2 linked regions of the Neodiprion lecontei genome follow. The protein of the gene in region 1 purifies or fractionates together with the protein of each later gene. This does not show direct contact. Links are inferred from orthologs where the notes say so. Each region holds a gene or a part of one and is shown on either strand. Other genes may lie near its edges. The genes, in order: signal recognition particle 54 kDa protein and signal recognition particle 9 kDa protein.

Region 1 (6,860 bases):
CAATTTATTTGCAGTGGCATTGGCTAATGAAATTTATGAAGCTTGGGCTGCTTACCCTAAAGTAATGTTATTGGTACATATTTGCGCCTACTATCCCAATATATTGAACTTGTAAGTATATTTTAAATTATTGATTAATTACCACACCATATTTTGCTATAGTAATGTGTAGTAATCAGTAGTATTACTGTTTCGTTTTTTTATTTAGGTTACCCAAGTTTATATCATCGAAGAAGTTTCTTGACATGCGAGACTCTAAGCAAGTACTAAAAACAGAGTGAAGATAATATCTATTTTTCGAGGACTAATTTTAATTCTACCATAATACAGTCAAGTACCATTAGAGTCCATCAGTTATGGATCCTTTTTGACTTTTGCGAATATCTCCAATTTTTGCACCTTTGCTTTTATACCAGAAGATAAGTTCCCTTTCCCATTCAGTGCTACTGAAATCTTTTATGGTAGTAGTCATTATAAGTTATTATATTGAATGGGGAGAAGAAAGATGGTTTTTAAACAGACATTTTATTTACCACATCTATCCAATATTGTTGTTACTATGAGATGTTTATTAAATTTTGTACATTATACTGTGGTAATCTTAAATATATAATTTGGTAAAGTTAACCTTCGTTCAATTTTTCAGTTGATTGTTTATTTTTTTTCTTGCTTCTTTACCACGTAATATCGCAGTTTTGAATAGTCTACAATAGAGTTCAATCGCCACAGGTGTATCATCATTTCCAGGAACAGGGTAAGTGATGAGGTTTGGATTACAATTTGTATCGACAATGCCTACAGTAGGGATGCACATTTTAGCCGCATCTCGAACAGCGGTATGTTGATTTAATACGTTATTCAAAGTATTTAGGAATATGCATAAATCGGGTAGACGTGTCGCGTCGCCAAACTGTTTATCAGCGTTGGTAAATATTCCACCCCTCCAAAATCTTGTGTGAGAATATTCCCCGCATTCTTTAGCAGTTTTATCAACGAGATGCGCGTTTTGCGTATTTCTACAAAAAAAAACAATTATACCACCGTTAAATGCTATGTGGGCAGTGAAATTGAGGGCTCGTCGTAGATGGTCAGCTGTTATATCGAGATCAAATATCAAATGGTCCAAGCGAGATCCGAACAGGTAAGGACGCATATGATCGTCTAAAGAGCCAAGTTTATGACCATAGTGCACTCTTGCTTTGAATAAGTCTTGAACTGTAAAAAGTTTATGAACTCCAAAGAAATCTGGATGTTGTAGTGGATCTATTGACGGGACGTCAGTTCCTAGAAGAAAAAAAGACCGTTATCGAAGAACGTAGATCTGTGTGCCAAGTGTTATGGCTATTCATGGAGTTGACGGGTTTAGAAAACTTGGAAATCTCACTGTAAGCAGAATCCCAACCTGTTTTCTTAACCTATACAATGACTGAGAAATAGCCATTTACGACGGGAGGGAAGGAATTCGAGCCAACTAAACTTGAAAAGTTTCAGGCAAATCGGTGCAAAAAAGTGCTAAGCCGCTGGACATGGCAGGTTTAATTGATAATCAAAGTATTTGTTTAAAGACATCCCCACCTTCTTTTGAAACAATTTGAGGTTGTGATTGAGTTGCTAAATTCCTCAATTTCTGTGAAAACACCCTTGACGTCCGGAAGCGGCAACCCATATTTAGCACTGCAAAAAAAAGCGTGAGACACGTACGCTCTAAAACAAAATTTAACTGATCAATTTCTAAAAAACATACTTTTCGAAAAAAGCGTCTGCCCTAACACAGAAGCAGCCATTTTTCTACACCACACTATTTATTTTATCGAGATTCGAGAATCGCGGTATGAAAAGTGATGAAAAGTATGAAATATACTTTTGGTAGGCGGCCGCCTGGTGGCCAAGAACAAACTCACAACCACACCGGAAATAACGCCATGCCGTGTTGGCCTGGCAAGACGAATTTGGCATATCAGTGTTTGTACAAAATAATACAAATATTAAGATAATTGAATTTTGCATTAATTGTGTGAATTAAGACGGCAGGATGGTGTTAGCAGACTTGGGGCGTAAAATAACGTCCGCCCTGCGGTCGCTCAGCAATGCCACCGTCATTAACGAAGAGGTGAGGAAAACGATGTAAACAGATGGAAAGGCATTTAAAAACCCGTCGCATATTAAAAGCAAATACTGTTTATAACTATTCCCACCTCGTGTGATTGTTATGATTAATTTGTATCAAGATCATTGCAGAACATCGCAATTCCTGTTCTTATTAAAATACGTACATTTTTCTATCAATAACCAACCTAACCTAACCTGACTTTTCAACACACAATTGCACGCAATTACGTGATTTTTTTTTCGTTGAAATTCATCTTCGATCAATCGAATTTCAATGTCAATAGTATTCTATTGCAGAATTTAAATTATTGATTGTCGTCGATTTTGATATCACTGTAATTTCAGTAAATTAAGTCAATTTCAGTTCCACATCAATTTTTGGTTCGATGGTGAGAATGTGGTTGAGAAACATTGACCTTGTTTCAAATTTGATATTGTTAATGAAGAAATAAATATTAATTTTTGTATCAGTTATTAGCAAATTCGGAAATTTTTTTATTTTTATATTCATATCAAAGAAACTTCGGAAAAAATGGTGTAAACCCGTTTTTACAGGTGCTGAATTCTATGCTAAAAGAAATATGTGCGGCGTTACTTGAAGCTGATGTCAACATTAGATTAGTGAAGAAATTGCGTGAGAATGTTCGTGCGGTCATTGACTTTGATGACATGGCCGGCGGTCTCAATAAGCGGAGGATGATCCAAAGCGCTGTCTTTAAAGAGCTTGTTAAAGTACGTTTTTTTTATCACGATTAATTCTATTACCGCCGTGATTTTGATAGTCATTTTATTATTGCAGCTAGTGGATCCAGGCGTGAAAGCTTATCAGCCTGTAAAAGGACGGCCTAATGTGATAATGTTCGTAGGTTTACAGGGTTCGGGTAAAACGACGACGTGTACAAAACTTGCCTACCATTATCTAAAAAAGAATTGGAAATCCTGCTTAGTTTGTGCTGACACTTTCCGTGCTGGTGCATATGATCAAATCAAACAGAACGCAACAAAAGCTAGGATACCATTTTATGGAAGGTAACTTATTTTGAAACAAGTTAAGGAATCTTAAAGCTGAAATATTGTGTTGGTTATAGTAATTGAGATGATGAATATAAACATCTAATTGTATATCATAATTTATGTGCAAACTTGAAATTTAGTTACTCATAGAATAGTTACTCGACTGTAATGGAAAATGTTTTTTTCTGACTGGTTTTCAATTAATAATTTTCATTGAAAATATTGCACTACTTTCAGAGTAGAAAATTAGTTTGGAAAAATTCCATCTAAATTTTTGAGTGCAGTTTTGAATTAATCTTTATAGTAATAGATTCAGCTCTAGTAAGTATTAAGCAAGCATAGCTTTTAAAAACACATTACGAAATATGAACGTCTGTGATGTTAAGCTTCATTGCGCTCGCATTATTGGTTCGGGTATGTATTTACATTGCTGTCATCACAGTTATACAGAGATAGATCCTGCAGTCATAGCAGCAGATGGTGTGGAGATGTTTAAAAAGGAGGGATACGAAATAATTATAGTGGATACAAGCGGTAGACACAAGCAAGAGGAATCGCTATTTGAAGAGATGTTGCAAGTGTCAAATGCAGTGGTAGGTTTGAATGAGTTGTCAGCGGAACTCAATTCTTCAGAATTATTCAGATTGTGATTGCTTTATGCTATTTTATCATAGTCGATTAGAAACCTTCGCAATAATTTGACGTTCACTCAATTTCAACCCAAAACTATAGAAGAAGTTCATTTTGTTGCACTAAAATTGCAAATAACTTTGCATTACCGATTTCGTGAACAGATTGATCACATGATCCATTTCGATTCAACATCAATTTATTTCAGAAACCAGACAATATAATATTCGTGATGGATGCAACAATAGGTCAGGCTTGTGAGAGTCAAGCAAAGGCTTTCAAGGACCGTGTGAACGTTGGTTCTGTTATCATTACTAAATTGGATGGCCATGCCAAAGGTGGTGGTGCACTTTCAGCGTAAGTATTCATTGGAGCCAATTTTGAGCTGATATACTTCAGTAAACGATTTGATATTATACGATTCACTTGCTTATATTTATATTCTTTATTAGTGTTGCTGCTACTCAAAGTCCCGTCATATTTGTGGGTACCGGTGAGCACATAGATGACCTTGAGCCTTTCAAAACAAAACCCTTCATTAGCAAGCTTTTGGGAATGGGAGATATTGAAGGGTTGATTGATAAAGTTAACGAGCTCAATTTGGATGATAACGAAGAACTACTTGAAAAAATAAAACACGGCCAATTCACTATGAGGGATATGTACGAACAGTTCCAAAACATCATGAAAATGGGGCCCTTCTCTCAAATCATGGTAATTATATGTGACTCCTGGTATAGATAGCAAAAAACTATTTGGTATCAGTTGTTACCAAATAAGTTTCAGGATGTAATTAGTTTGGACAGATTATTAAGCATATATATTTTAAACGATATTCATATTTTGTGCCATTGGCTAACAGGGAATGATTCCTGGCTTCAGCCAAGACTTCATGTCGAAAGGTACAGAACAAGAATCCATGGCTAGATTGAAGCGCCTTATGACAATCATGGATAGTATGAATGACGGTGGTACGTGTAAAACATTACAGATATTATTCATAACTAAATCCTGCTTCTTTAGATTGATGTTCTATTCGCCACTTGAAATAATATGAATATGTAGAATTCAATCGACTTTTGTAGAGCTAGACAACAGAGACGGGGCCAAGTTATTTAGCAAACAACCAGGAAGAGTTGTGAGGGTAGCCCAAGGATCAGGTGTAACTGAAAAGGAAGTAAAAGATTTAATAGGACAGTACACGAAGTTTGCCGCAGTGGTGAAGAAAATGGGTGGTATAAAAGGTCTGTTCAAGGGCGGTGACATGACTAAGAATGTGAATCCTACTCAAATGGCAAAGCTCAATCAGCAAATGGCAAAAATGATGGATCCACGAGTCTTACAACAAATGGGTGGGTAGAAATTTACCGGTGTAACGAATTATGATTTGTGTATCTTTAAGGTAGCCTCGACCTCTTACCACAGCTTTCAACTGTAATTTATCGTCACAAATATATAAAATCTGTTGTGTAGGTGGAATGTCAGGGCTGCAAAACATGATGAGACAACTTCAGCAAGGTGCTGCTGGCGGACTAGGCAACTTGATGGGTGGTTTTGGAGGTAAATCCTGAGACGAAGAATCGGGCGACACTAATGAGTCGCGCGATTATCGCTCCCACCCACAGCACACTAGGAGACATCAACGAAATTAAGTATCACTTTTTATTATTGCGGAGAATTCTGTCTCTGTTCCCTCCCTCACCTTATTTGTCAGATTTTGGAATTTCTAAAAATATATTTACAGTTTTATTTTCTCTTAAGTTGTTCAGAGAATCTTTATTTTTTTACTGTATTTATAATACTGGGCTTCTGTCCAAAAGTTGAACATTTAATTCAGTTTTCACGGTGTAAGCACCGAGGAATCAGAAAGGCAGGCGTGCTGTACATTTTTTTATCTTTTGGAGAAATTAGCTATTTATTTCATGCATATTCCAGCATATTTACTGCTTTCTTGATGAACTCCGTATTTGACAGGTGCACTAGTTCTTTCTCCATGCTTCACGTTCATGCTAAAAAGCAGATTTGTAACAAATATGTATGAACTCGAAATACCAAGTGAAATTTCCTATTCAAAGCTTTCAAGTCTTAATACGAAAATAAATAAGTTTCATGTGCTACAACTGCCGTACATTCAGAACTAGGACTGATTCTGTAACGAAAGATTAATTTTTTACCGTAACTACGGCATACAATATTTGAGATTTGTATGTGAAAATAAGGTAGGTGAGAGTAGAGAAGATTACAATAACGATTACGAGATTTATTAACATGGTAGATACGGTATGCATTTGACCTCGTACTATGAAAATACGATGTTTTTGTAAATAAATTATTGTATAACATTTTTCCGACTTGCATTCCTTATTGAACAATGAATCCTGTCCTTCACACTCAGTTTCATAAATTTTCATCGCAGCACAAGCCCAAAACTTTCTAATTTTAGATCTGACTAACCCCCAACAATGCATGATAAATTACGTTCTGTACCAATAAATATATAAAATAAGAAGTTCTTTTTCGTGGCACGGAATTTGATCACGAGAAATAAATTTTTATGCCAATAGTGAATTGTACATACAGAGACATGACTATATAATAAATTTGTAGGACGAGATATTTCTTTTATTATCGATTATGACTTAATTTTTTCTACAACATTGCCTGCTTCGTACTGAGTTTATCATTAATTATCAATTGCATAAAACCTCATCACATCCGCCGCAATGATTGCTGTTTGAAAAAAAGGTTTTCAAACGATAGAATCGATTGTCGATATACACGTGATGTGAGAATGATCGCCACCGGCAAGTATCGAGCTTACGGTAAGAAAAAAGAAAAGTAAAAAGTAACGATAATCAGAAAAAGAATGGTAAGAAAGAAACTGGTTTTATTCAGTTTCGAATGGTGGCACACCTGGGCAAGGTCGGTCGGAAACTCGTGCTACCTGGCAGTACTTCACGGTACTACAGAGAGAACGAAGGTTGCGTGTAGGTTATGTTGTTTAGTGTTGGTGCACGGTGAATTGTGGTGGTTTAAAATACCGCATTGCGCGTGGTTATTGGATATAAAGGAGCGCTAAAAGCCGTGAGTAACAAAATTCCATAATA
Region 2 (3,919 bases), on another chromosome or scaffold:
TCTCTAACCCGGGCGACCGGGCGGGGGACGCCGGGCGTCGTCTGCGCCTGGAGAACGTCCAATGGTCCGACGAGGGTGAGTACCGATGCGTCGCCTACAACGTGATAAACGGGGTACGTCGAGAGGCGTCGAGCGACGCTCGCTACGTCCTCCACGTCACAGGACCCCCCGAAATCCAGACGGGGGCCTCGTCGGCTGGCGAATCCGCGGACGGAGGCGACATCCGGTCCATCGGGTGGGCCGGGGAACCGGTTCACAGACTGAGGTCCCGGTTCTGCTCCAGGCCTCCACCTCGCCTCGTCGCTTGGCAGTGGGGGAGCTCGCACATCAGGGCTGGTGAGTGATGTTCGATTGCGGTGGTGGAGAGTAGGGATGGAAGGAGAGTTCTAAGTGCAGATCCCGATACACAAAGACACGACACTTTTTTCCGGTGATCGGTACAGTCAATCGAAATGAGGAAAACCCCCATACGAAGAAAAGGGTTTGTGTCTGAACTGTGAAGCGGGTAAAAGGTCACCATTCGGATCTGTACCCAGAAATCTCCTGGTACTACTACTACGGAGAGTTGCATGTAGCAATTTAATATCCGAGCGATTGAATTTCCAGGAGAAAGCATTCCGCCGAAGTACGAAGCGCTTCCGTTGGAACCGATTATCGAGAACAAGATGGTGACGAATTGCTACTGGGCGAAGCTCGAGATAAAGGATTTGCAGAAGGAGGACGCGCGGGTTTACACGTTGCTGGTGGAGAGCGAGAAGGGCAGGGATTCGACGAATGTTCTTTTGCTGGTGCGGGACCCGATGGGGACGCGATTGATCGCGGCAGCCGCGGCTGTCGGGACTTTGTTTCTCCTCGGGCTATTCGCGATCTGTCTTTACGCCGCGTTCAGGTCTAAACGAACCGATTTGTACAGCCAGGAAGTTGAGGAGGGAAGCATTGCGGCGGACGCTTTTTACAGCCCCACGTCTACCGTCGACAGGCAGAGAATCGCCGATCAGTCTCAGATCCAAGCTAGCCAGGACCAGACCAAACCTCTGGCTAACAATAAAGAGACGTTGCACGAAAGCCCACTCGCTGTTCTTTACGGATACGATCACATTTCGAAACAGGCGGCTATGACTAGGTCGCCGATGAGCCCAGAAGCGCTGAAAGTTAGGAGAGCCCCCGTCGTTCTGCAGGCTCCAACGATAGTTTAGCGAACGTTAACGTTATTTCGTATGTTGAACGAAACACGTATTGATACAAATTTTTACCGAAAAGCTGCTTTCACGCACTATACTTGCTATAATACGCGTGGGATATTGTATTATTGATTATATAAAGATTATTCTTCTACGTAGAAAACACATTGTCCGTTTTTCTTCAACGATCAAATATTTTTTACAGAGTCTGAAACCTTAATTGTTATCTGTACAATAATCACTAATAATTTAATTACCGTTCGCTTCTAAACCATAATTGTTTGACATAATGTGACACCTATAAGCTTTTATTACCATTAATTTTCATACTAATTATATTTAATTATTTATTGTTTTCATTGTTGTATTTTATAGGAATAAAAAATAAATATGATTAAAGAAAAAACAATAATAAAAGTTGATAATTAAAGTCAAAATATCGTTTACAAACAAGTAACGTATCCCCCGAAAGTAACATCACAATGCAATATGGCGAATGGCAGATAACTAACTTGTTTTGATAGCGACGAAAATTGTACTGTGAAAATGCAATATTCCAATTGTTAATAAGCACCGCGTGATATTTTTAATCGATAAATACCACAGAGGATAATCGAGGTTCAGAACCTGATGTTATATCGGAATGACGAATGAAATTTAAGAAATGCGAATGGCAAGACTCGTCTACGAGTCTCGTAGTCTATGACCGATCGACTCCTCGTTTACGACGCGTGGAGACAGGTGGCCCAGAGATCCATGACAAACCGTCTCTGTCATTTGTAGGTTGGTTGAACGAGTATGAATGTTTATTTAAACGTGTGACTAACGGTAGAAGAACAGTTGATTAACGTGAAAGCAAACGAAAGCGCGTCCATTTCGCGGAGGTTCAATAATAATAATGACGTACCTTAAGTCATGGGAAGAATTCGAGAAGGTAGCTGAGAGGTTATATCTCCAAGATCCACTGAAGGTTTGCCATTTCACTTTTATTCTCTTCCACTTTGACAGTAGTTTATTCACCCTATAGATGAATAAGATTTTATTAAAAGTTGACTTGGTGCAAAATTTCTGTCAATTGCCAAACTGTTCAAATCATAACCTATATGTTGATCGTGGCGGTACAGTTAACACCAGCTGTGTACAATGACGCCGATGATAAATTTACATGAATACATAAGTAGGAAGAGTCGATCATTTGTAAAGATACTAATATTCCAAGTATTGTCAAATGATTTGTATGTCACCCTTGTTAACCTTTGTCTAACTTACTTGTTATTTCGTTTGTTCCAGGCTCGGTACACAATGAAATACTGCCATAACAAAGGTACTTTATCCCTCAAGCTCACAGACAATCGTACGGTAAGTAAAGCGTAAAGCACAAGTTAAAATGCTGTAATATTGTTGCAATCGCGGCTAAATCGTTCATCGTTTCACTTGCAGTGTTTGCAGTACAAAACAGAGATCGCGCAAGATCTGAAAAAGATGGAAAAATTCATAGGCAACCTGATGCGACACATGGCGTCCAAGGACAACTAATATTTATTACTATAGGAATATATTGTTTAAATAATAACGATGAAAAAGGATGAAACGAAAAAGAAAAACAAGGTATTCACAAGGATTCTAAAGTCCGTTTCTTTGACGATACATATATGTATATAGTATATTCATATAGATTTTTTTCATTTCTGTCTTTCATTCCATTGAGATAAAAAAAAAAAAAACAGTTTCTCTTTCGTTCTTTAATATACAATATGTGCATTGAAATTATTCTTCATTTGAACTTAAAGCTCGGTGCTTATTTCGGCCTGCTTCTGTGGCGGCGAGTCAGAGTTCTGTAACAACAGATAAATGTTCAATTATTACTTGTTCTTCATTTCGGCGATGGATGGATTAATCATCTTTCATAATTGCAATAGATACTTACAAATCCACATGCAAGAAATAGATTATGTGTATTTGGAAAATGAAAAGAAATCACCCGCCATGACTCAATTCACTCGTAACCTGTGCCACTCTTGTTTAATACCGAAGAAAACCATGTGAAAATAAAGTGGCAGAGGACGATTTGCAGAAGGAAATAAATTTTTTGAAAACAAAAAAGTGAAAACAATATTGAAAAAATAAGATCGTTGTTATACTTGGCTGCTTCTTACAGTCACAATGGCATAAAGAAAGAAGCATCTGCGCGGGGGGGGCGAAGAAACTTACGATATAATGGGCTGAAGAACTGCATCCAAAGTTGCGTCAGCGGGAGGGTAGATTTCTTGATTTGAAGACAGATCATAGCGTCCCTCTCCCCCCAATTTCTTTTGTTGCTATACCAAAGAAAACTATTTTTTACTAAACTACCACACAGCAGATCAATAAATACAATAGTCTACCACAGTTTCGTTCATCAGCATTTCATTAGAAATTTCGTTTAAACCATCATGATAACAATTAACTGCTGAAACACTACCAGGATATTTCCATAATTCAACTGAGAATATTCACTGCAAATTATACTTCTAATAAAATGCTCAGATTTGACACACACAAATACGTAGATCACCTTTGCCGTATTAGTTCAATCGTAAGCATTACGCAAAATAGAACTTTATCGAAACTCATCAAAAATAAAATGGTTTGGTCAAGTTTCAAAACGCAGTTCTTACAAGTGCAAAAATACGGTAACTGCGAGTAATATTGAAAGCAATAAGCAAAATCCGCGGAAAGCCAAGTTTTGCAAACAGTTT

Evidence for each region.
Region 2: the proteins of signal recognition particle 54 kDa protein (region 1) and signal recognition particle 9 kDa protein purify together in Homo sapiens (co-immunoprecipitation; 4 studies listed by BioGRID and IntAct, counting the BioPlex papers as one, with this or other methods). This does not show direct contact. The link is inferred for Neodiprion lecontei from reciprocal best matches to the Homo sapiens genes SRP54 and SRP9.

What each region holds. Positions count from the first base shown.
Region 1 is NC_060263.1:31,042,840-31,049,699, reverse strand, and holds signal recognition particle 54 kDa protein, read left to right. Parts: upstream 1-1,910; 5' UTR 1,911-2,032; coding exon 2,033-2,110; intron 2,111-2,664; coding exon 2,665-2,841; intron 2,842-2,908; coding exon 2,909-3,138; intron 3,139-3,565; coding exon 3,566-3,716; intron 3,717-3,961; coding exon 3,962-4,110; intron 4,111-4,205; coding exon 4,206-4,467; intron 4,468-4,615; coding exon 4,616-4,724; intron 4,725-4,838; coding exon 4,839-5,105; intron 5,106-5,226; coding exon 5,227-5,324; 3' UTR 5,325-6,099; downstream 6,100-6,860. Other genes in the region: dehydrogenase/reductase SDR family member 7, read left to right, coding at 1-111, 209-281; 28S ribosomal protein S2, mitochondrial, read right to left, coding at 635-1,284, 1,576-1,686, 1,751-1,784. UniProt on the Homo sapiens protein: Component of the signal recognition particle (SRP) complex, a ribonucleoprotein complex that mediates the cotranslational targeting of secretory and membrane proteins to the endoplasmic reticulum (ER).
Region 2 is NC_060266.1:26,102,808-26,106,726, forward strand, and holds signal recognition particle 9 kDa protein, read left to right. Parts: upstream 1-1,892; 5' UTR 1,893-2,079; coding exon 2,080-2,151; intron 2,152-2,471; coding exon 2,472-2,540; intron 2,541-2,621; coding exon 2,622-2,717; 3' UTR 2,718-2,979; coding exon of another isoform or gene 2,980-3,016; 3' UTR 3,017-3,284; downstream 3,285-3,919. Other genes in the region: irregular chiasm C-roughest protein-like, read left to right, coding at 1-336, 607-1,196; band 4.1-like protein 4, read right to left, coding at 2,980-3,016, 3,393-3,499. UniProt on the Homo sapiens protein: Component of the signal recognition particle (SRP) complex, a ribonucleoprotein complex that mediates the cotranslational targeting of secretory and membrane proteins to the endoplasmic reticulum (ER).